3 linked regions of the Elephas maximus indicus genome follow. The protein of the gene in region 2 interacts with the protein of the main gene of each other region in a biochemical or structural test. Links are inferred from orthologs where the notes say so. Each region holds a gene or a part of one and is shown on either strand. Other genes may lie near its edges.

Region 1 (7,692 bases), on a different chromosome or scaffold from region 2:
AAATCTCTTCCTCATGGGGTTGCTTCTGAGCATTTGATGAGGTCAAGCACCTCAAAGCACCAGAGACACATTAGATGGTCAATTAACTTTCACTTCCCCTCCTTTCCCTTGAGGAAGCCCCCTCTAAAGCAGGGAGTAGGTGGAGGCCCAGGGGCAGGGCTGGGCAGGGCTGAGAGAAGGAGAAGTTCCCTGGGTGAAGTGGGGAGGGCTGAGCTGGCCCTGATGCCTGGGGGATTTCACCAAAAGGGAACTGGGACTTGGGGCAGCCACAGGAAACCACTGGCCTGCAAGAGTTCCGGCTTCTCCTCAAGACCCTGGGCTGGTCAGGAGGCAGGCCAGGGCTGGAGGGGCAAGGGGGTGAACAAGTCTAAAGTCTGCAGGCCACCTCAGCCCCCTGCACCCCACCCCTTACCAAGACCTGGATCCCCTGATCGAAGATTCTCCCTACTTCACCCTCAGAGCTCTCACTGAACCCAAGTGCCCTACTGAGCCCCATCCCCCTCACTGAAGCCTCTCATTGGGCCTCCATCCCCCTCACTAAACACCAGCCTTTCTAGAAGCCTCACAACCTCCTGCCCTTGAATGCCTGGGGCCTAAGGAGAAATGCCCCACTCTGACTCTACTGCTCTGGTGGGGCTAGGGGCCAGGTGTGCACTGCAGGGTGTGGGGAGGGATGAGATGGCCTATCTGCCTTGCCAGATTTACCCTCCACTTGGTCCTGAAGGTACCAGCTGAGTTTTCTTCACTTTTTGTGGGTAAAAGTGGTTTCCCATCTGTTGCTGAACACTCACCAGCTTCTAAAACACAGTCTTCAGTCCCACCTTGCTTGGGACGCAGGGCTCACAGGAGATGGGAGTCAAGGATGTCCAGGGGGAGCTGGGGGATTGGAGTCTAGATTCTCTGGCAAGGCCAGACAGGAAGTGCTGCACTAATCCTGGGGAGCTACCCTGCCCTTTCCCACCTGAGGCCAGCCCAGTCTCTTCTTACACAAAGGGCCCTGGCTCCTTCTTCCCCTGCTCTGCTCCCCACTCCAGCCTCCCAGGGTCTGGCCACTTCCTGTCCCACGTTGGCCCCAGGTGGGTGCACAGAACACCTAAGCACCCACATATAAGTTTACATGCTCTTGCTCACTCCCTCAGAGCCCAGATCATACAAACACTCACACACTTTCGCTCGCAGCTTCACACCCACTGGGGAGCAGGAGTGAACCATAAAGTCCATTATTCCCACACCGTCTTCTACCTACTCTCCTTCCTCCACCCACTCCCCCTCCTCCATGTGCTCCCTACCCCACATTCTCTTCTCCAGAGGGCTAGGTGGGACTTGGGAGGAAGGAGGTGAGGACTCATACCTTAGCTCTAGCTACTTTGTCACATCAGGGACAAGATGCCCTGGAGTCCAGGTCCCTACTGCTGGCCCTGTCAGTCATTGCCTCCTGAACCTCTATCTCCCCACCTGTGAAATGGAAAGACAGCCCTGCCCCCCCACCCACCAGCACAGAGAGATGCCAACGGCCTCAGGATACCCAAGGGACTACGCGCCTGAGGGGGTGGCCAACTGGATATGGCGCCACGGGGATGGGGGACATGTCTCAAACCTGCTGACCTCCCCAGTGTGGGCCCTCCAAAGATCCACAGACATTTATTTATTAGACATCAGTGCTGGTCCCTGGAAGCCCTGTCAGTGGGACACACTCAGGCTTTCTGGTTCCTTTCCTTGCTTTTGAGAAGGCAAAGGAGAGGCTCGCTGGGTCAGATAACCCTTAATCCGTCAGCACAAACTATTTTCTGCACCTGATTTTCATGACTGGGGAGAGGGATGGGCAGGGCAAATTTCTCCATATTGTTCAGATGAGGAAAGTGAGGTCCAGAGAAGCCGCATAACTTGCTTAAAGTCACGTGGTTAAATGCACAGTCTGACTAAGAACCCAGGTCTCTGAGACTGCAGATCCTTGCCCCAGGATCCCCGAACACTGAGCCTCATCATCTCACCCCCCTGTCGGGAAGTCAGCGCCCCACTGAGGACCCAGAAGCCGGGAGGGGGACCGAAAAGGCTTCGCCAGCCAGGGGCCCAACGCTCGCCAAGGGCGGGGCTCGGCCTCACCGTCCGGCGTTGCCATGGAGACAACGCCTCCAGGCAATCGCGGTCAAAGGCAGGATTTCCGTCGGGGCGGCCAGCAATTCCTGGATCCCGAGGGGAAAGCGGACCGAGACTGCCACCGGGGGCGGGGGGGAGGAGGCACCCAGAGAGGCTGGTCCCTGCTGAGAGCGTGACTTCCCCAGGAAGCGGGGACTCGCGCCTCTAGCGCCTTCAGGAATCCCCTCGCGGTGCCGAGCCCGCCCACCAGTGCCCGGCGCAAGGGTCTCGGGGGCGCTCCTGGTCGCCTTCCCTCCCCTCCTGGCTGTAAGCTTCACCCCTGGCTTCTGTCGATTCGGAGTATGGGTATCTACTAGGCTCCCGTAGTGATTCTCCTTGAGCCCCTTCGGCAAATTCCCTCACTTGATTCACCCAGTCCCCCAACCTAGTTCCCCTCTCCAGAACCCTCAGATTCTCCCCAAATTCTCACTCTCAAGGTCCCCTCAGCTTCTCTCCCAGACCCTTTTGGGGGTCCCCTTAGTCCCTCTCCCTGACTCAGCTCCCTTCCTAAATTCTATCAATCTCACTCTGCAGGTTCCCTCTCTCTTGCCCACCAGATCTTTTTGGGGATCCCCTTCATTCGCTTTCCCGAAAGCCCTTCAGCTCCGTCCAAAATTTCATCAATCTCACTCTCTAGGTCTCCTCTTTTCGGGGTGGGGCCCCTTTGGCCCCCAGCTCCCTCAGCCCTCCTCCCACGTCCTCCCAGGCCCCTGTCTCCAGCCCCTTGTCCCATCTGAAGCCCCCGCATACCTGGTCCAGGGGAAGCCGGTTCTGGCGACCCCCGGGCAAGCCACCTGGCGCTTCCAGCAGTGCCGAGTGCCGACGTGGGAGAGAACTGGGGTGCCGCCGTCTCTGACCGCCGCCCCCTCTGGGCAGAAGGAGGAAGCCGCTTGAGACTTCTCTTATTGCTGCGGTGGCCGGCGGCGGGGAGGCTGTGGAGGCTAGAACTCACAGTCACGCCCCCACCCCAGCCTGCTGCCCGCATCAGGGAGGGGCCCTCAAATCCCAGACCCGCCGGCCCCCACCGCCGGCCTCCTCCGGGTTACCAGGGTCGGCTCTCCCAGCCCTATCCCGGCACCCCAGTATCCCCAAAGCCCTGAACAGCCTTCCCAAAGGCCTCCTCCAAGGAGCAGGTTCCTCACCCCCAGAAACACCTGCTCTCCTAGAATCAATGGATTTGAGGTAAGGGCTTTTATCTATTCCTGAAGACCACTTCCCACTCTGCCCTTTTTACAGCTGGGAAAGCTGAGGCCCAGATGGCCTTAGCCAAGTTTTCACAGCCAGTTGACCTCAGGCTGTTGTCACCAGATCCGCTTCAGATCCCATCTTGATGCCTTATCTTCCTCAGGAGGCAGTCTCTGGGGCAGGGATGTAGGCAGGCAGGAGAAGCCAGAGACCCTTCCCTTAGGAAACTGCTTTTGAGAGGAACCTGCCCTCAGGCCACACTGGAGGGAGAGAGAGCCCCTTTCTCCCAAGTCTTAAAAAAAAAAAAGGAAGATGATCCTTCTTTTCCAACTGATAGGGATCCCTGATTCCTTCTCAGTCTGGGGTTCAGTCTCACCTCCCACTACTGTTGCTTCTTCAGGCTTAATCCAAAGACCAGGAAAATCACTTCTTCCCTGGAGAGGAAGAGGTGCATGAGGGAGGGCTGCTTGGTGAAGTGTGTGTTGATATGTGGTGGGGAGGCAGGGAGGGTGGAGAGCACAGGGTAACTGTGTGTGTGTGTGTGATTGTAGGAAATTGTCTTAGTTATCTAGCACGGCTACAACAGATTTACCACAAGCAGATGGTTTTAACAAAGAGAAATTTATTCTCTCACCATCTAGGAGACTAGAAGTCTGAATTCAGGGTGCCAGCTCCAGAGGAAGGCTTCAGCTCTTGGGCAAAGGTTCTTGTCATCAATCTTTCCCTGGTGTAGGAGCTTTTCAGCGCAGGGATCCCGGGTCCAAGGGACACAAGCTCCTGGCTCCTCTTGCTTAGTAGCAACGAGGTCCTCATGTCTCTCTGCTCAGCTTCTTTTTTATATCTCAAAAGAGCTTGGTTTAAAACACAATCTAATCTTGTAGATTGAGTCCTGCCTCATTAACATAACTGCTGATAATCCCACCTCGCTAACATCATAGAAGTAGGATCTACAACACATAGGAAAATCACATCAGATGACAAAATGGTGGACAGCCACACAATACTGGGTATCATGGACTAGCCAAGTTGACACACATTTTTTGGGGGGAACACAATTCAGTCCATAACAGCAATGAACATGATGACTGCATTTTTGGAACCAACAACTGGGATGTGTTATGCACACCCAGGTGTTCCTATGCCTGAGCAGGGCCTCTATGTGTGGCAGGGAGGGGGATTCAGATGTGTACCAGTGTCTGTGGGATGGTAGAGAGCCGTGAGATGCAGGTAAGACTGCTTTTCACTTAGGAAAATGGAGGAGGAGCAGGGAGGAAGACACAGGGGAACCAGTGGAGGTACAGGGGCTTCAGAAGGGTGGTCTCACCGTGGCTGGGGCAGCATCATCTCCACCACCAAGTATCTCCTGCCTGGCCTTTGGTCCACACATTCAATTAACAAACTACCATTTCTCATTGCCTGTCACCTGCAACCTTAGGGAACACACAGATGAAAGAGACCTTTTGGGGAACCTGCAATGATTCTGCTCTGCAGTGTCATTATTCTCACATGTTCTTAGTGAAAGACTGTTTAGAGCAGAGCACAGATCAGACAGTTCTAATGGCTTGCTCGACAGGCCTTTATGACTTACAGAATAAACAGGACAGGGATGAGTAGAATGGCACACGTCATCATCAGCCTAGTTTCCCTGAAGTTAGGCTCCTGTCTACAGGATTAGATCACATTCAGCCGTGCCCCAGTTCACATCTCGGGAGGAGAATGCCTCAGTTCCTCTCTCCCAGGGTTAAATACTAATCGGCCAGCCATGTCTGTGTACCAGATAGCAGTTACAGAGAGCAGGTAGGGAGGGGGCAATTAAAGTGTGTGTGGTGGAGGGAAGGGTAATAAAAGTTAAAAGGTGATAATACAAGTGGAGGGCCGCCTGCAGGCAATGAACACCATTTTTTGCCCTGGTTGAGTCCTGGTGGCTCAGTGGTTAAGAGCTTGGCTGCTAACCAAATGGTCAGTAGTTCGAATCCACCAGCCGCTCCTTGGAAACCTCATGGGACAGTTCTACTCTGTCCTATAGGGTCTCAATGAGTCAGAAACGACCAGATAGATGGCAACACGTTGAGGCTATTCTAGATTTACTGGTGACAAAGAACATCCCTTCCTCCTTTGCCCCAGTAAGATAGAGCTCTGGGTTTCTCCAGAGGGCAATCATCTCCCCATAAAGCACACACTTTACTTCACGTCCATTAATAGCTATTATGTCCATTAGCAGCTAGAGAGATGGTGAAAGAGATATAGCATACCTGTGCAGCCAGTAAGCTCACTGTGTCATCCTTCTAGGCCCGGCTCACAGGCACTTCCTCAGGAGGCCCTCCCTGATTGCTGCCCCCATCCCCAGCAGAGCACTCAACACCTTCTGCCTGGTGCACTAGTAGTTCCTGGGGTATGGGTTTGGGGGGATGTGTTTTGCTTAAGGGTCGGGACTGGGTCTGGCTCTTGTCAGTGCCCCTGGTGCCCACACAGGGCTTGGTGCACAGCAGCAGGCCCTCTGAGCATAGGAATGTATGAATCATTTAAAGAACAAAGGAATTCACAGGTCAACAAGTGAATGCCTGATGAAAGAATAAGGAGTTGAAGGCATGAATTAAAGAATGAGCGAATAAATTTAAGAAGCAATGAATAGTCGAATGGAAGAACAAAATTGCTTCTGTTTTTGAATGTATAAATTAGACCACGTTAGTTGCTTGCTTAAAACTCTCAATGGCTGATTTCCTATTTGCTTGGAATAATAAAAATAAAGCATTAGAAAAAATGATAAAATCTGAACTCCTTGCCATGGCCTCCTAGACCCTACATACCTGGCTGCTACCCACCTCTCCATTCTCATATGGGACCATCTTCCTCTTCAGCCCCCTTGGAATCATTTTCAGTTCCTAGAGTACATTGAATTCTTGCCTTAGGGCCTTCTCACGTGCTGTTCCCTCATTTTCTTTGCTCTTCACAGTAGTGGCTCCTTTCTATCCTTCACCTGAAGTGCCACCTCCTCAGTGAAGCCTTCCCTGGCCACCCCATATAAGGAACCTGTTACTTAATGCTGCTGTAACAGAAATATCAGAAATGGGTGGGTTTAAGGAACATAAATTTATTTTCTCATAGTTTAGAAGGCTAGAAGTCTGAATTCAGGGCACCAGCTCTAAGGAAAGGCTCGTTCTCTGTGGGCTCTGGGGAAAGATCCTTGTCTCTTCCAGCATTCCTCTGTTTCTTGGTGAAGGTCACCTGGCATCTGTCCTCCCCCGTTTGTGCTTCCTTGTCTCTGTCCTGCTCTATGCTGTTCCTTATAACTCAGAAGTGATCAGGTTTAAGACACATCCTACACTGATATGGCCTCATTAACATAACAAAGAAAACCCTATTCCCATAGGGGTTAGGACTCCAACACATATTTTGGGGGGACACAATTAAATTCATAAGAGAGCCCTCATTCCCCTATTCTTGGTCTCAGCACGTGGTTTGTCTCCTTCATGGCAGTCTGAAATCATGTATTTTTCAGTTTATTGTTTATTGTCTGATGCCCCTGGGGCTAAGCTGCCTCATCCAGTCTCTGGTCCTCCCTTTCCTGGGCCAGGGCTCTGACAGTGACAGGGCGTTCTATGCCTCTCACTCATCCATTCAGAATAACCTAGTGATTAGGAGCATCGAGTCTGGACCCAGACTGCCTGGTTTGTAGGCCTCTTCCTAGCTTTATGGCCTTGGGCAAGTTATTTCACCTTTTTGTGCCTCAGTTTCCTCATATGTAAAATGGAGATAATAGCAGACCCTACCTCATAGGGGTCCTGGGAGAAACCAGTGAGCTGTTAGGCCAGTGCTTGGCACACATAAGTGGCATGTGAGTGTCTGCTTCCTGGCCAACTGCCTGGAAGAGATCCATATTTATGCCTATTCCCAAGAAAGGTGATCCAACTGAATGTGGAAATTATAGAACAGTATCATTAATATCACATGCAAGCAAAATTTTGCTGAAGATCATTCAAAAATGGCTGCAGCAGTATATCCACAGGGAACTGCCAGAAATTCAGGCTGGATTCAGAAGAGGACGTGGAGCCAGGGATATCATTGCTGATGTCAGATGGATCCTGGTTGAAAGCAGAGAATACCAGAAGGATGTTTACCTGTGTTTTATTGACCATGCAAAGGCATTCGACTGTGTGGATCATAACAAACTGTGGATAACACTGCGAAGAATGGGAATTCCAGAACACTTAATTATGCTCATGAGGAATCTTTACATAGATCAAGAGGCAGTTGTTCGGACAGAACAAGGGGATACTGAGTGGTTTAAAGTCAGGAAGGATGTGCATCAGGGTTGTATTCTTTCACCATACCTATTTAATCTGTATGCTGAACAAATAATCCGAGAAGCTG
Region 2 (7,076 bases):
CCTCTTAAACCCAAACTGGCTTTAATGAGAATAAAATTTTTTTTAAAATATATCTCTGGCAGGGCAATGGAGGGGAGGGGTTAGAACCAGGCACAGTTCAGCATTTCCCTAGAGTCTCCATACAGGCCCCTCAAACTGCACCTGTTCTCATCGTACACCCCTTTCTATAGATGTAGTCCAGCAGTTGTCCATTCCTTTGGGAGGTGGAGGGTTTAGGGGTGCTGGCCCTCCCCAGATCCCATCCCTCAGTTCCTGCCATCTGTTCTACTTCCTAGGACTTGTTGGAATTGGTCATCCTTCCCTCAACAACCCTAATCCCTCTGAGACCCTGGTCTCACACAGGAGCCCCCTGTGCCCTGCTTCCCTCTAGTTCTCACAGGTTTTGTTCATCCCCAGTGCCATCTCCCCATAGTCTTCCTATTAGCTCTGCCAGCCAGGCCTTACTCTCATATGGAGTCCTCTGACTGGACTCCAGTCCTACTGGTCTCTGCTCTGGAGAGCCCACAGTCCCAGCTCCCCGAGGCCCCATTCTTCTGGACCTGACTATACAAGGCAGTGCCTGAGTTGTGGCCTTTGCTGCCACTGCCAGTTTCAGTACTAGGTTCAAGGAAGACCAGGCCTTGGGGCTTGGGAGCTAGGAGAGGCTTTGCGCTCCGAGGGGGGGGCACAGCATAGTCATCAGTGGCTGGGTTGTAGGGGAGCTCGTAGCCCTCCTCCTTCACCCGAGCCTGGCACCACCATGCATCCTTGGGCTCTTGAGGCAGGTCATAAAGGCCTCGGGAAGGGGCTGGGGCCAGGCCCTCAGGTTCGTCATAGATGGGGTCTTCTTTGGGGTCCTTCAGGTTGGCCTTCTGCAACTTCTGCTGTACATGCTCATACAAGTCCCAGTAGAGAGGTTTCTTCAACTGCGCCCCGTCTCCTGCCCGAGCACGGGTGCTGTCCAGGGGGTCTGAATATAGGGAGTCCTGGGAAGGGCCTGGAGGGATGCGCAGGGAGTCTAGCGGTTCAGCATACAGGGATGGGGGGCTGCACAGGAGCTCCTGAGGGCCACAAGGAGGAGCCAGCTTCCCTTCTGCCACTTCTTCATGGGAGTCAGTTCTCAGGACATCATGCCCCTGACCAGCCTTTGCCTGGGCCTTCTGCTGACGGATGGCTGTCTCAACTGCCTGAAAGATGTCATTTCCCTGTGCCGTCTGGAAGGTGAAGGTTCCGGGGCCAGACGGGCAACGGCGGCCGGCCTCAAAAGAGAACATAACCTGAAGGTGGTATAGAGGGAAGCATCAGAGGAGGTGAGTCACAGGGCTGAACTAGGTAGGGAATCTGAAGATACCATCTGGGGAGCGGGGGTCACAGGGTAGGCCAAGAAGGGGGGTCCCAGAGAGCAGAGCTTCCCACCTTCCTGTCCTGTCCCACCCCACCAACAACTGCCCAACCCAGCAAGCCCTCTCTGACAGCCGTCCCTGACGGTCCTCACCCCCCACCTTGTCACGGCCATAACGACGCAACAGAGTGTAGGGCCAGTAAAGGAGGGGCTCCAGTTTCTGACTCTGGGTGCCCATGGCCAGAAGAGTCAGCCTCTCAGCCTCTGTCCTCAGCATGTAGGAGCCATGCAGGCCACAGCGTTCAGCAGCCTCAGTCCTCTGCACGGTCACCCAGAACTGAGATCCTGAAAGGAACACTAGATTAGATGCTTAAAAGAGTTACTGGGGACTAGGGTGAAGGAATGAGGACCCGGAAGGAGTCAGAAGCAGAGTGTCCTGGCACTCACTTGGAAGCCAAATCTTCCCTTCCCTATGGGTCCATGAACCCTCTAATCACTCCCTTCCCAAGGGCACTCCTCCTCCCCACTCCATCCCTGCCCGGACTTCTTGGGGTTTCTACCTTCCCAAGTGGGGCTATAAAGCGAGTTCTCCAGCATCTCCAAGGCAGAAAGTTTGGGTGGGTTTTCGGCAGGCGCCTGAGCCCAGCTGCCTTTCTGTCGTAAAGAGAGAGGGAGTGTAGAGGACCCCATAATCTCCCAGCGTGGCTCCCAGGGTCTGAGCCAGCCGGATGCATCCCCGCTTCGCCCCAGCCCCTCGATCGCACTCCCCGACCTCCTCACCGGAAAGGCATTTCGGCACAGCGTCTGCACCCAGGCGGCACTGGACCGCGCGTCCGCGGCCAACAGGTGGGAGCGCTGCGCTGTGTCCAGGCGGAAGGCTGCGGCGCCGGGCTCAGGGGGGCTCTCCACGGCCACGGGGACCACGCTGACACACTCTGCCAGGCGGATCACCTTGCAATCCAGGCGGCGCGAGCCCCCGCGGCCACCCCCTGAGCCCGACCCCTTGTGGTCAAAGAACTCGAGCCGGGCCACGCCGTTGGGGCTGGCAGGGTAGAGCACAGCCCAGGTCTTCCTCCACCTCTAAGGAGAGAGACACGATGGGGAAGGTGCGGGGCGAGCGCGGGCTGCCCGGGCCCCTACCGCGGCGGCTGAACGGGCTCAGACTGATTTGGCGTCTCAGGCTGATTTGGCGTCTGGGGCTTCCCGACCCGGGGCAAAGTCTCCCAAGGACGACGCCGCTCCGTCTCCCCAAGAACAAGGAGGACGTACCCCGACGCTTCTCTGGAGTGTGCAGAGCGACTTCGCGGGACCATCACCGGGCTCTCCAGCTCCCGGCGCCGCGCTCCAACCCGCGCCCGCTCCCTCCTGCTTTCTGGGCCCTTCCGCCCACCCCCTGCTCTGAAGGGGATCGGCAGCCCCTGGACCCCACTACCTTGGTCCCGAAGCGCTGACTCTGTAAAAAGAGCGGCCCTTCCATCTCAGCCCCGTCCATGGCCCCCGGCGGTCCCTTCGGCGCTTCCTGGCACTGCGGGCGGGAGGCGGGACGGGGCGGGTCGCAGGCGGGGCCGGACTCGTCAGAGGCGTTCCCGCCCTTCCCTGCCCCCGCGGGCCGCGACAGGGGGGAGGGAGAGGTGCAAGAAAGACCGGGGTCCCCAGATAAGCTGGGCGGCCGCACCACCTCCGGGCCCTTACCACGGCCGTGGGGCGCGCACAAGTGGCTCCGCAGAGAGAAAACTTCGGGTTTCGGCCAGACAGCCCCGGCGCCTGGGAAGGGGGCTGCGTGTGACGTCTTATGCCCTGCGTGACATCAGAGTGAAGGCCGTGACATCACCCCGAGAGCGCCTACGGGCACCCTGGGGCCCCAGAGGGGCCACGTGGGCCCTCATGGCCTCAGTTCCCCTCGCCCGGCCCGCCCCCAGCCCGGCCGGAGTCGCAGTGTTTACCCTCCGCGAGCCGGGGGCGTGGGGGAAGGGCTGGGGGCTGGAAGGCTTCCCGGAACCCCGAGCCCAGCGGCCTCCCGCCGCCACGGGGGCTGCCGCCCGGGCCTGTAGGCGGCCCCGCGGCCTCTTGCGTGTCCAGCTACCCGACCGCAGCTGTCCGGCCTCCAACCTGCGGGAAAAGAAAGCCTCATTGAGCGGGCCGGGAGGGCGTGGGGGGGAGGGGGCGCGGCTGCGGCCAGCTCCACCCGGGAGGGGAGGACCGAGAAGAGAAAAGGAGGGAACTGGCTAGGGAGGAATCCAGGGAGAAGGCGGAATGTGGGAGGGCTCAAGGGGATGTAGGAGGGACGAATGGGGGGGGGGGGTCCGGTCTCCCCTGTCCGAACACTTTTTTTTTTATCCTAGGACTGATCTCCGGGACCAAGACTCTTCAACCAGCCCCTAGATCCCTGCTCAGCCAAAGGTAGGGGAGTCAGGCTAGCCTGCCAGAGGAGGAACAGGGTTATTAGGGATGGAGAGGACGGTGGAGGGACCAGGGAAAAAGGATGGAGTCGAGGGGAAGCCAACCAACTGAGGGTTTTATTATTGTCAAAAAGGAGTGAGACACTAGAAGAGTGGAGAAATGGGGAGGCAGGGGTCGTGTAGGGTGTCCCAGATGGGGCAGTCGGGAGGACCTTGAGGCTAGGGGCTTGTCTGCGAGGCCTCAGCCCGGTGCCCCCAAGCCAAAATATTCTCAGAACAAAGATGTCTTGTTGGGTTGTTTATCTGGGTTGGGGGAAGCATGTTTCAGTGGGCCCCTCACTGTGGAGGGGCTGTTGTGAGCCCCAGACCAAGAGAGGGCCTTGGCTTCCTATCAGATCAGAGCATTGCCTCCCGTTGCTCGGTGACAGCAAAGGCGGCTCCAAGAACCCCACCCCATCCCCCTGCCCAGCTTGAGGCCCGGCCCTCCTGGGCCTCTTGACCCTGCCCTGCATCTGAGAGCCTGCGTGGTGGGAAAGGTGTACAGCGGGTACTCCTTGTGGTCTAGTGTCTGCCTTCCTTGCCTCTGGCATCTGGTACTCTGGGCTCCACTCCTGTTGGAGGAACCAGAGATCTGAGGGTCTTCTGGGTCCTCCTTGCCTGCCTCTCAGCGCAATCAGTGGAGCTGTCAGTCCCTCTGACTGGCTGAATGGAGTCATCAGGGTCCCTCCCACATCTGCTCCTTGACTCCTGTCCATCCCTCTCCCCCTCACCTGTTGCCTGCAGCTTTCTCTCTGGCACCTTAATTCTGTGTGCCTAGCATTCTCCCTGTCACCTTCTAACTGTCTTCACTGTGTCTGTCTCTCCTGCAGTCTCTTTCCATTGGTCTCCCTTTCACTCCCACACTCTCCCTTCCTCTCACATCCTGTCTGTCTGGGTCTTCCTCTCTGTGTGTTCTTGCGCAGTCTCCATCTCTTTATCTCTTTGTTTTGACCATTCTCTGACTCTTGGTCTCTAATTACTGTCTTTCAGTCTCTGGGTCTCTCGGGCTGGGGAGTAGGGGTAATGGAGATGATGATGGCAGAACTAGGGAAGGATGTTGTGGGACATAACAGCTGATGGTGAGGGTTTCAATATTTACAAAACGGTGGGGAGAGCATATACCTCTCCTCATCATCCCCCTCTTTCTCCTCCTCTCCCCAGTGTGGGCCTGGGTCTTTCATCCCTTACCTGTTTGACTTTGTGTCTCTGCCCTTGTTTAATATATTTCTGTCTTATTTAGTGTCCTTCTCTCTCACTGTCTCTCTATCTCTCTCTGGTATGTCTCGGTGTCTTTCTTTCGTGATATCTCACTTGGACTCTGGTCTTAACCTCAGCTTCTCTCTCACATTCCTCTCCCTGGGGCACCCAGGCCTTCCCTGCCATGCAACCTGTCAGTGTCTGGAAACAGAGTACGTGGGGGCTGCTGCTGTGCCTGCTGTGTGGCTCCTGTCTGGGGTCTCCATCCCCAGACGGAAACCAGGGGCTGCGGTTCCGGCTGGCTGGCTTCCCCAGGAAGCCCTACGAGGGTCGTGTGGAGATACAGCGTGCTGGCGAATGGGGCACCATCTGTGATGACGACTTCACACTGCAGGCTGCCCACGTCCTCTGCCGGGAGCTGGGCTTCACAGAGGCTACAGGCTGGACCCACAGTGCCAAATACGGTGCTGGAACAGGTGAGCAATGCCCCCCAGGAAGAGCCAGGTACCCTGACTGCCTAAATGACACCTAAGTGCAGGGAGAGGAGCACCAGAATGACACAACCACAGGGACACAGGACACCAAGAAGAGCTGGAGTCAAGAAAACCCATGAGTGACACCCAGCCAACACAGTCACTCACCAGAGCTGTGCGACCTTAGGCTGATCAGTTGCTTTGTCTGAGTCTCACATGCCCCATGTGTAAAAATGACTAGATGATCTATAAGTTCCTTTGTTTTGCAAAAGGGTGTGATTCTACAAAGCCATGCACAAGGGCAATTCAAGTACAGCTTGCTCCATGGGAGGCTGAGAGCAGGTAAATGATGTCTGAGTGTCCCAAAGCCAGAAGGGATCCCAGATACTGCTGCTGATAAAATCCAGTTACAGGCGACAGCTGAAACGCACAAACTGGAACTGAGTAAGGACAAGTAAAATGCCTAGGACAAGTCTAAGTGTGGTTGGTAGGGGATTAAGAGCAATTCTGACTGAGGCCTGGGAGTGCTTGCACTGTCTGAGACCACAGTAGGACTGATGGACAGAGTTGGTGCAACCTGACCCAATCCCCCAATCCCCACTGGCTAGACCACTTCTGAAATAAAGTGTCTACTCATAGATGTCAGATTTTTCAGAGACGCTAGAAAACGGAAACACTGTCAGAGAAGAACTACCCAGATGTCAGAGATTCAAAAGCCAAGTTATAAGGAAGCATAGCTGGAGAAACCAGCCATCTTTAATCTGGAAAGAAAAAGCCTTAGATGGCAATTACATGATGGTCATCTTTAAATATAGTAGGGTCAGTCATGTGACTGAAGACTTTTTCTGGATGGCATCAAAGGACTGAATCAGACTGACAGAGGAAAGTCTTATAGAATCACAAGGACTTTCTGATGGTTACAGTGACCTGGTGGAGGTAGATGTCCCAGTAGAAGCTGGGTAAGCCCTGTTACGGAATGCATGAGGGGGTCCCTGCACATTGGCTGGGACACAAGGCCTGTGAGGCTCCACCCAATTCAGAGAAGAAGTTAATGATATTCAGTGTGGTTCAGGCAGGGAGAACACCAAGTGGCATCACGGCAACACAGGCAGGGCAGCCACATGAGAAAATGTGTGAGTGAGGTGAAAGGATCTTTGGTTTCCAGGTCTCACAGACTGGGCCCAAACTCCTAAGCCTCCTCACGGCTGTGTGGCTGTGTGGTCTTATGCAGGTTACTCAACTTCTCTGAAGCCCAGTTTGTTTATATAAAACAGTGATAATATCTTCCAGGCAGCACTGTTCCAAGATGACAACATAGGTACAGACCCTGGCAAAGTGCTTGGCACAATTGTAGCTATCATTGAATGTGTAAGAACTGATCAGAACGTCCGTATCGATTCCTGTTTATTTGCCCTACTAAATTCTTGGGGCTCCCTCCATCAATCCCCCCTTCTCCCTCCACAGACTCCTGTTCCTTCCCCACCCATTATCTTCCCAGAAAAGTGAACTCATCATGGCCAGATGTGAAGCCCCAATGCTCATCCCTCCCACCAGCCCCATCACACCCCATTCTACCTCTCCAAGCCTTTCTGTCCCTCCATCTCTGCCTCCACAGGCCGCATCTGGCTGGACAACCTGAGCTGCAGT
Region 3 (7,554 bases), on a different chromosome or scaffold from region 2:
CCAACTAAGATACAGCTATTGGTCCCTACTAAACCGGAGCAAAAGAAAAAGAAGGAAACCCAAGATTCAGAGAAGGAACCGGTCTACAGGACAAATTACCCACATGAACAACACCCTCCTCTACCCTGAGACCAGAAAACTAGATGGTGTCTGGCTACCAGTACCATATGTTCTGATCAGGACCACAGTAGATGGATCCTGATAGAAAGAGAGAAAAATGTAGAACAGAACTTCAAATTCTCAAATAAAAATCCAGACTTACTAAACTCACTGTTCATTTCTCCATTAGGTTGGACCACTTAAATGAACAATTATAATCCAATCTAAGAAAGAACTGGTTGAGTTAGGACTGAGACAAAAAGGCAATAAGAGAATTTGGAGATGGAGGCAACTATCAAGCCTCTTTCCTCTGGGGTTTTTTTTCCCCCAAAGCAATTCTCAAGGCATAAGCATATGGTACCGGGTAATTTTACAATTTCCAGTGACCAGGGGCCAGTTTCACTCCTTTCTTATCAGACTGTATCAGACTAGAATGCCCAATTTACAACCTCAATCCAACCAAGGCCCCTGCACTTTGCACATACAGACTGGACAAGAAAAGAGCATTTTAGGGGCTCTGAAACAAGTGACACTGCCATCAGCAGACATTTACCAAGGATCCATAGGGGATCCAGCACCAGGTGAAGGTTAGCACCCCTGCCAAGTCTGTGACCAAGTCTCCCTACCCTGGGCAATAAGGTAATTCTCCCTGGAGGTGGGAATCCCAGGAGGGGTGGAGTCAGGTGGAGTGGGGTAGAAGCCAAAGAACTAGAAGAGCTGGGGTGGAGAGGAGAGGCACCAACTCGGTCAGCCTGTTGGTTGGAGACTCAAAGTGTGTGTGTGTGTGTGTGTGTGTGTGTGTGTGTATACTCTTAGGGTGTGTGGGGGGGGGTGTGGGTGTGGGTCAGGGGGGCGGAGGTGAGTTAAGCAGGGCAAGGAGACCAGCAATTCTTCTCCAAGCATAAAAGTGGGCCACATACTGCCCACAACCTCTCCAACCACCCTGTCAAAGGTCAACTTAAGGGAGCACAGGTAGCCATTCTCTGATCACCACAGTCTGATAAAACATAGCCCTTGTCCTAGAGGAACTAGCTGCTGAGGAAACATGACGATTTTCTAGATACAGTATAATTAGGTAAACAGATTGAAAAGGCTAGACTATACATAATATTGTCTCCTATCTGGGACCAAAAAACCAAAACACACTTCCTTCGAGTCAATTCCGACTCATACCTACCCTACAGAACAGAGTAGAACTGCCCCCACAGGGCTTCTAAGGAGCACCCGGTAGATTCCAACTGCCGACCTTTTGATTAGTAGCTGTAGCTCTTAACCAGCTCTTAACCACTACATCATCAGGGATCCCTCCTATTTGGAAAGATTTGAAAATTGTAGTATAAGGGCTTATGTGGGGCAAAGGTATTGTCAACTAAAGCATAATGCTAATTTGCATGTGTTTACAAAACTTGCCCTATACAGTTCCACAAACGGGAAGAATCAAGATTATTAACATAAGATTAGGTTAATTTGAGTATAGGGAAAGCACAAGATTCTTTAGCACTGAAATGTAACTAAACTGAAAAAATACTTTCAAGTAAATAAGGAGAAGGTAACACATATATTCTTTTTCCCCCATATGAACCACGGCATTCCATATGATTTTTTGTGAGCCAAGGAGCTACCACTGTCACAAACTAGCCTGTTAAACCCCAGTACTGTTTTGGGAAACCCGCTGTTTTATATTGTTTTCTCCCCAGTTCTTTACGGGAGAATCTTCTAAGACGGAGTAAATTCTCAGAATTTCTTGAGGAAAACGGGCACTCACTGGAAAAACACACGGCATGTGCACAAAATGCTTAAATATGCTGGGCAACGTTCAAATCCACTTAACCACCAGCCTTTCTGTTGTACCAAGTCACCACTGAAATCAACCTTTCTAATCAAACATTATAGTTTTCTGAAGAATAGCACTAGATCAGGTTGTTTCCAAACCTGGTACCCAGCAACGTATTATTCTTCCATAAAAAAAAAAAAAAATAGGGGGTAAATAACTCAGAAGGAAATTTAGGATAGGCGGGAACGCGCGCACACTAGGGTCAAGGCCCTAGTTTTTTCAATTCATGGATGCGCTAAGCTCAGTTTTTCAAGATTCAAAAACAAGTGCCCAGAAAAAAAGACGCGCTTGGTGGGGTGAGGCACTCTGACACGTGCAACTGTGGAACTTCTTCGATTTTGCTGGCTTTCAGTGAAGACCAAGCTCGCATCCAAGTTGAGAAGAGGGATCAACTCTGCTGCACAGCCGGTAAGTGAACCCAACGCTGAACATGCTACCGAGACGGCCTTGGCCCTGGGACCCGAGGGGAAAAGGGGCGGGAGCTCTTAGGGAGCCGAGCGCCCGTGCCTGGGAGGTGGAGAGGCGGCAGCTGCCGGGAAGGCGCGGCCACGCAGGGGCGCGCACCTGTTCTTTCTTCCTGAACCAAGGGACGACAGGGTCCCTCACCTGACACGGCACGTCCGCGCTCGCTGGGGCCCAAACCAAAAAAAACAAACCCGTTGCCGTCCAGTCTATTCCTTTCACAGCAACCCTATAGGACTGGGCAGAACTGCCCCATAGGGTTTCCAAGGCTGTAAACTTTACGGAAACAGATTGCCACGTCTTTCTCCCGCAGAGCGGCTGGTGAGTTCCAACCGTGGATCTTTCGGTTAGCGGCGGAGTGCTAAACCACTGCGCTAACAGGGCTCCTTCACCGGGGCCAGGAAGGGAGAAAATCCTCCTCCGTTCCAAGAGGGTCAGTCTTGCGGCATGTGAAAGTGACCTCTCGCCGAGGGCGTCCCCATCCTGACCCTTCCCCACCCGGAGTCCTGCAGAACCCTACCCCCCGCCTAAGGCCGCCCTGGCTGGCGCAAGGAACCCTTACCTGTCTGGAGCGCGCCAGCTGCACCCAGCTCCGCAGGGTATTAAGTCCAGCCAGAGCCGCCGGGTCGGAGCGTCCGGAGCCGGGAGCCCGCCGGCCCCGCCCCCATAGCTCCGCCCCTAAAAATCACCCCGCCCCCAAAGCCGGTCTAGCCCCGCCTCACTGCGGCCCTCGGCGCCGGGCTTCTGAGGGCCAGCGGCGGTTTCGAGGCTCCCCCGCCCAGTCAGGCAGGTCGGACGCCGGGTCTCAGCTACCGCCTTCCGGTCAAGGCGTCGCGGAAGTCAGCGGGTGCGTCTCTTTTGTTCCACCGCGCGGCGCTGGACCTCCCTGGTTCTGAGCTTCATATTCTAGGAGAACCAATGCGCGAGGGTTCGGGCTTCCCCGACCCGGGAGAACCCCGAGCAATGCCACCTGTAGGTGGCTGGAGGCCCTGTTGGAATTAGGAACCGCACCTTCCTTTCCGTAAAGCAGTGGCAGGCCGGACCGGTGCAGTGGAGCGAAGCAACGATTTTACCAAAAGAATAAGTCATTTTACTTTCAAACCTGGGCAACGGAGCGTATCTGATCCGCTTATAGGGTCACATGTGCTTGTTATTAATGTATTACTTTATTCACTCATTGAAGAGTAGTAACCAACATTTATATGTATAAAACTTACTATGTGCCAGGCGCTTGTAAGTACTTTACATATATTAACTCAGCAATTCTCTACAGTAGATATTGTTAGAATCCCTGTTTTTGCATACGGCGAAACTGAGACAGAAGTTAAATAACTTGCCTAAGGTAAGGTACCAAAAAGAAAAAAAACAACCACAAACCAAACCCGTTGCTGTCAAGTTGATTCCGACTCATAGTGACCCTACTGGACAGAGTAGAACTGCCCCACAGGGTTTCCAAGGAGGGCCTAGTGGATTTGAACTGCCCACCTTTTGGTTAACAGCGGAACTCTTAACCACTACAACACCAAAGTTTCCTAGATAAAGTACCAAACCAAACCAAACCCACTGCCATTCAGTCAATTCCGACTCATAGCGACCCTATAGGACAGGGTAGAACTGCCCCATTGAGGTTCCAAGGAGCATCTGGCAGATTCGAACTGCTGACCTCTTGGAAGCAGCGATAGCACTTAACCACTACGCCACCAGGATTTCCAGATAAAGTACCAGGGCGGTGCAAATGGTTTGTGCTCATCTACTAACTGAGCGTGGCACAGGGGTTGAGAGCTCAGGCTGCTAACCAAAAGGTCGGCAGTTTGCTCCTTGGAAACCCTGTGCAATAGGTTTACTCTGTCCCATAGGGTCTCTATGAGTCAGAATCAACTCTGTGGCAATGGGTTTTTTTTTTTTTTTTTTATGGTTCACTAACTGAAAGGTTGGTGATTTGAGCCCCCCTAGTGGCTTTTTTAGTGGCACCATAAAGGAGCCCTGGTAGCACAGTGGTTAGGAGCTAGGCTGCTAGGGTCCAACACACCAGCCACTCCTTGGGAGAAAGATGTGACAGTCAAGCTTTGTAAAGATTACAGCCTTGGAAATTCTATGGGGTAGTTCTACGCTGTTCTACAGGGTTGCTGTGAGTCCAAATCCACTTCAGGGCAACAGGTTAGTGACCCCATAGAAGAAAAGCCTTGGTGATCTGCTTCCATAAAGATTGCAGCCAAGAAAACCCTATGGGGCAGGTCTGCTCTGTAACACACAAGTTTGCCGTGAGTTGGAATAGACTCTAGGGCATCAGATTTGTTTGGGGTTTGGGTTTTTGTTTTTGTTTTTTAGGAGAAGGAGTATTTAAGGGAGCCCAACTAGGAAATTGAGAAGCTGGGATTCAAATCCAGGTAGTCCTCTGCTGGAGTCTACACACTTAGCCATTGCTACCCTGACTTCTCAAAAATGTGAGTGTCCACCATGTACCAAGAGCTGTTACAGGCCTGAGGAATACAAAACAAGGGTCAGCCCTCAAGGAGCTTTTATTCCAGTGTGAGGAGAAAGACAATAAATAATCAACAAGCAAGCAAAAAATGATACCGTTTCACATGGGAGAAATGTCTTGACTAAAATGAAGCAGGGTGATGGGATTGAAAGTGACAGGGAGATGATGGCAGAGGCTTCTCTGAGGAGGTGACAGTGCAGCTGAGACCTGAATATTAGGACAGGCAATCAAACCAGAGATGAAGCTAAGAGAATGGTTAAATGCAAATAATAATTACCATACCTCGTGTGTTTGGGTCTTAACTGTACTTACTCACTACTTTGTGCCTTTCTATACTATCTCTTCTTTGTACAATAACCCTGTGAAGAAATCTAATGAGATTCCATTTTACAAAAGAAAAAATTGAGAATCAGAGAGGTTGAATGACTTTCTCAAAGCCATACAATTAGTTAGGAAAAAAGGGGATGGGAAGAGATCTAAACCAAGATCCTCTGATTCCAAACCCTCTTTCAGTCCGTTAAGATCTTCAGTATAATGTACTCAGAATGAACCTAGTAAAAACTTCTCTTTTGTGATCTGTCTCGCCCTTGCTCTGGACTCTTCTGCCTCATATCCCATTCAAATACTTGTTTCAACTGATGAACAAGGGTAAGGATTCTTAAGGGGAGGGCAGGAGGATGATGAGCCACCTGAAATTGTATGCAAAAAATAGTATGTGTGTGTGTGTGTGCGCGTATATGTGTATAGAGAGAATCACAGTTACATAACTGTTGTTTTTGTTGTTGTTGGATGCCATTGAGTCCATTCTGACTCATAGCAACCCCATGTACCACAGAATGAAACACTGCCCAGTCCCGCACCACAACCACAATCCTTGTTATGCTTGAGCCCATCGTTGCAGCCACTGGGTCAATCCATCTCATTAAGGGTCTTCCTCTTTTTCATCGACCCCGTACTTTATCAAGCATAATGTCTTTCTCCTGACAAGTCCAAAATATGTAAGATGCAGTCTCGCAGTCCTTGCTTCTAAGGAACTTTCTGATTGTACTTCTTCCAAGACAGATTTGTTCATCATTTTGGCAGTACATGGTATCTTCAATATTCTTTGCCAACACCACAATTTGAAGACGTCAATTCTTCTTCTGTCTTCCTTATTCATTCTCCAGCTTTCCCATGCTATGATGTGATTGAAAACATCATGGCTTCAGTCAGGCACACCGTAGTCTTCAAGGTGACATCTTAGCTTTTCAACACTTTAAATAGGTCTTTTGCAGCAGATTTTCCCAATGTATTGCGTCTTTTGATTTCTTCACTGCTGCTTCAATGGGTGTTGATTGTGGACCCAAGTAAAATGAAATCCTTGACAACCTCAATCTTTTCTCCATTTATCATGATGTTGCTTATTGGTCGCGTTGTGAGGATTTTTGTTTTCTTTATGTTGAGGTGCAATCCATACTGAAGGCTGTGGTCTTTGATCTTTATCAGTAAGTGCTTCAAGTCCACTTCACTTTCAGCAAGCAAGGTTGTGTCATCAGCATATTGCAGGTTGTTAATGAGTCTTCCTCCAATCCTGATGCCCCATTCTTCTTCATATAGTCCAGCTTCTTGGATTATTAGGTCAGAATACAGATTGAATAGGTATGGTGAAAGGATACGCAACCCTGACACACGCCTTTCCTGACTTTAAACCACACAGTATCCCCTTGTTCTGTCTGAAGAACTGCCTCTTGATCTATGTACAGGTTGCTCATGAGCACAATTAAATGTTCTGGAATTCCCATTCTTAGAAATATTATCCATAATTTGTTACGATCCACACAGTCAAATGCCTCTGCATAGTCAATAAAACACAAGGAAACATCTTTCTGGTATTCTTTGCTTTCAGCAATGATATCCCTGGTTCCACGTCCTCTTCTGAATTTCTGGCAAGTCCCTGTCAATATACAGCTGCAGCTACTTTTGAATGATCTTCAGCTAAATTTTCTTGCGTGTTACGTCAGTGATATTGTTCAATAATTTCCGCGTTTGGTTGGATCACCTTTCTTGGGAATAGGCATAAATATGGATCTCTTCCAGTGGGTTGGCCAGGAAGCTGTCTTCCAAATTTCTTGGCATAGACAAGTGAGCATTTCCAGCACTGCATCCATTTGTTGAAACTTCTCAATTGATATTCTCTCAATTCCTGGAGCCTTGTTTTTTGCCAATGCCTTCAGTGCAGCTTGGACTTCTTCCTTCAGTACCATTGGTTCCTGATCTTATGCTACCTCTTGAAATGGTTGAATGTTGACCAATTCTTTTTGGTATAATAACTCTGTGTATTCCTTCCATCTTCTTTTGATGCTTCCTGCGTCGTTTAGTATTTTCCCCATAGAATCTTTCACTATTGCAAGTTGAGACTTGAATTTTTCCTTCATCTCTTTTGGCTTGAGAAATGTGGAGCACGTTCTTCCTTTTTGGGTTTCTGTCTCCAGCTCTTTGCACATGTCATTATAATACTTTACTTTGTCTTCTCCAGCCACCGTTTGAAATCTTCTATTCAATTCTTTTACTTCATCACTTCTTCCTTTTAGTTTAGCTACTTGAAGTTCAAGAGCAAGTTTCAGAGTCTCTTCTGACATCCATTTTGGTCTTTTCATTCTTTCCTGTATTTTTAAGGACCTCTTGCTTTCTTCATGTA

The links.
Region 1: the proteins of DOK1 (region 2) and FGR form a complex in vitro, tested with the Homo sapiens proteins (2 studies listed by BioGRID, with this or other methods). The link is inferred for Elephas maximus indicus from reciprocal best matches to the Homo sapiens genes DOK1 and FGR.
Region 3: of the proteins of DOK1 (region 2) and TEC, one has a biochemical effect on the other in vitro, tested with the Homo sapiens proteins (2 studies listed by BioGRID, with this or other methods). The link is inferred for Elephas maximus indicus from reciprocal best matches to the Homo sapiens genes DOK1 and TEC.

What each region holds. Positions count from the first base shown.
Region 1 is NC_064821.1:67,976,670-67,984,361, forward strand, and holds the start of FGR (tyrosine-protein kinase Fgr), read right to left. Parts: upstream 3,017-7,692; 5' UTR 2,961-3,016; coding exon of another isoform or gene 2,812-2,960; intron 2,270-2,811; coding exon of another isoform or gene 2,118-2,269; intron 1-2,117. Other genes in the region: uncharacterized protein LOC126071286, read left to right, coding at 2,118-2,269, 2,812-2,960. UniProt on the Homo sapiens protein: Non-receptor tyrosine-protein kinase that transmits signals from cell surface receptors devoid of kinase activity and contributes to the regulation of immune responses, including neutrophil, monocyte, macrophage and mast cell functions, cytoskeleton remodeling in response to extracellular stimuli, phagocytosis, cell adhesion and migration.
Region 2 is NC_064835.1:61,284,064-61,291,139, forward strand, and holds the start of DOK1 (docking protein 1), read right to left. Parts: upstream 3,097-7,076; 5' UTR 3,014-3,096; intron 2,847-3,013; 5' UTR 2,814-2,846; coding exon 2,754-2,813; intron 2,402-2,753; coding exon 2,102-2,401; intron 1,976-2,101; coding exon 1,882-1,975; intron 1,667-1,881; coding exon 1,482-1,666; coding exon of another isoform or gene 1,475-1,481; intron 1,257-1,474; coding exon 447-1,256; 3' UTR 1-446. Other genes in the region: LOXL3 (lysyl oxidase homolog 3), read left to right, coding at 5,141-5,432, 7,045-7,076. UniProt on the Homo sapiens protein: DOK proteins are enzymatically inert adaptor or scaffolding proteins. They provide a docking platform for the assembly of multimolecular signaling complexes. DOK1 appears to be a negative regulator of the insulin signaling pathway.
Region 3 is NC_064823.1:110,948,798-110,956,351, reverse strand, and holds the start of TEC (tyrosine-protein kinase Tec), read right to left. Parts: upstream 3,061-7,554; 5' UTR 2,958-3,060; intron 1-2,957.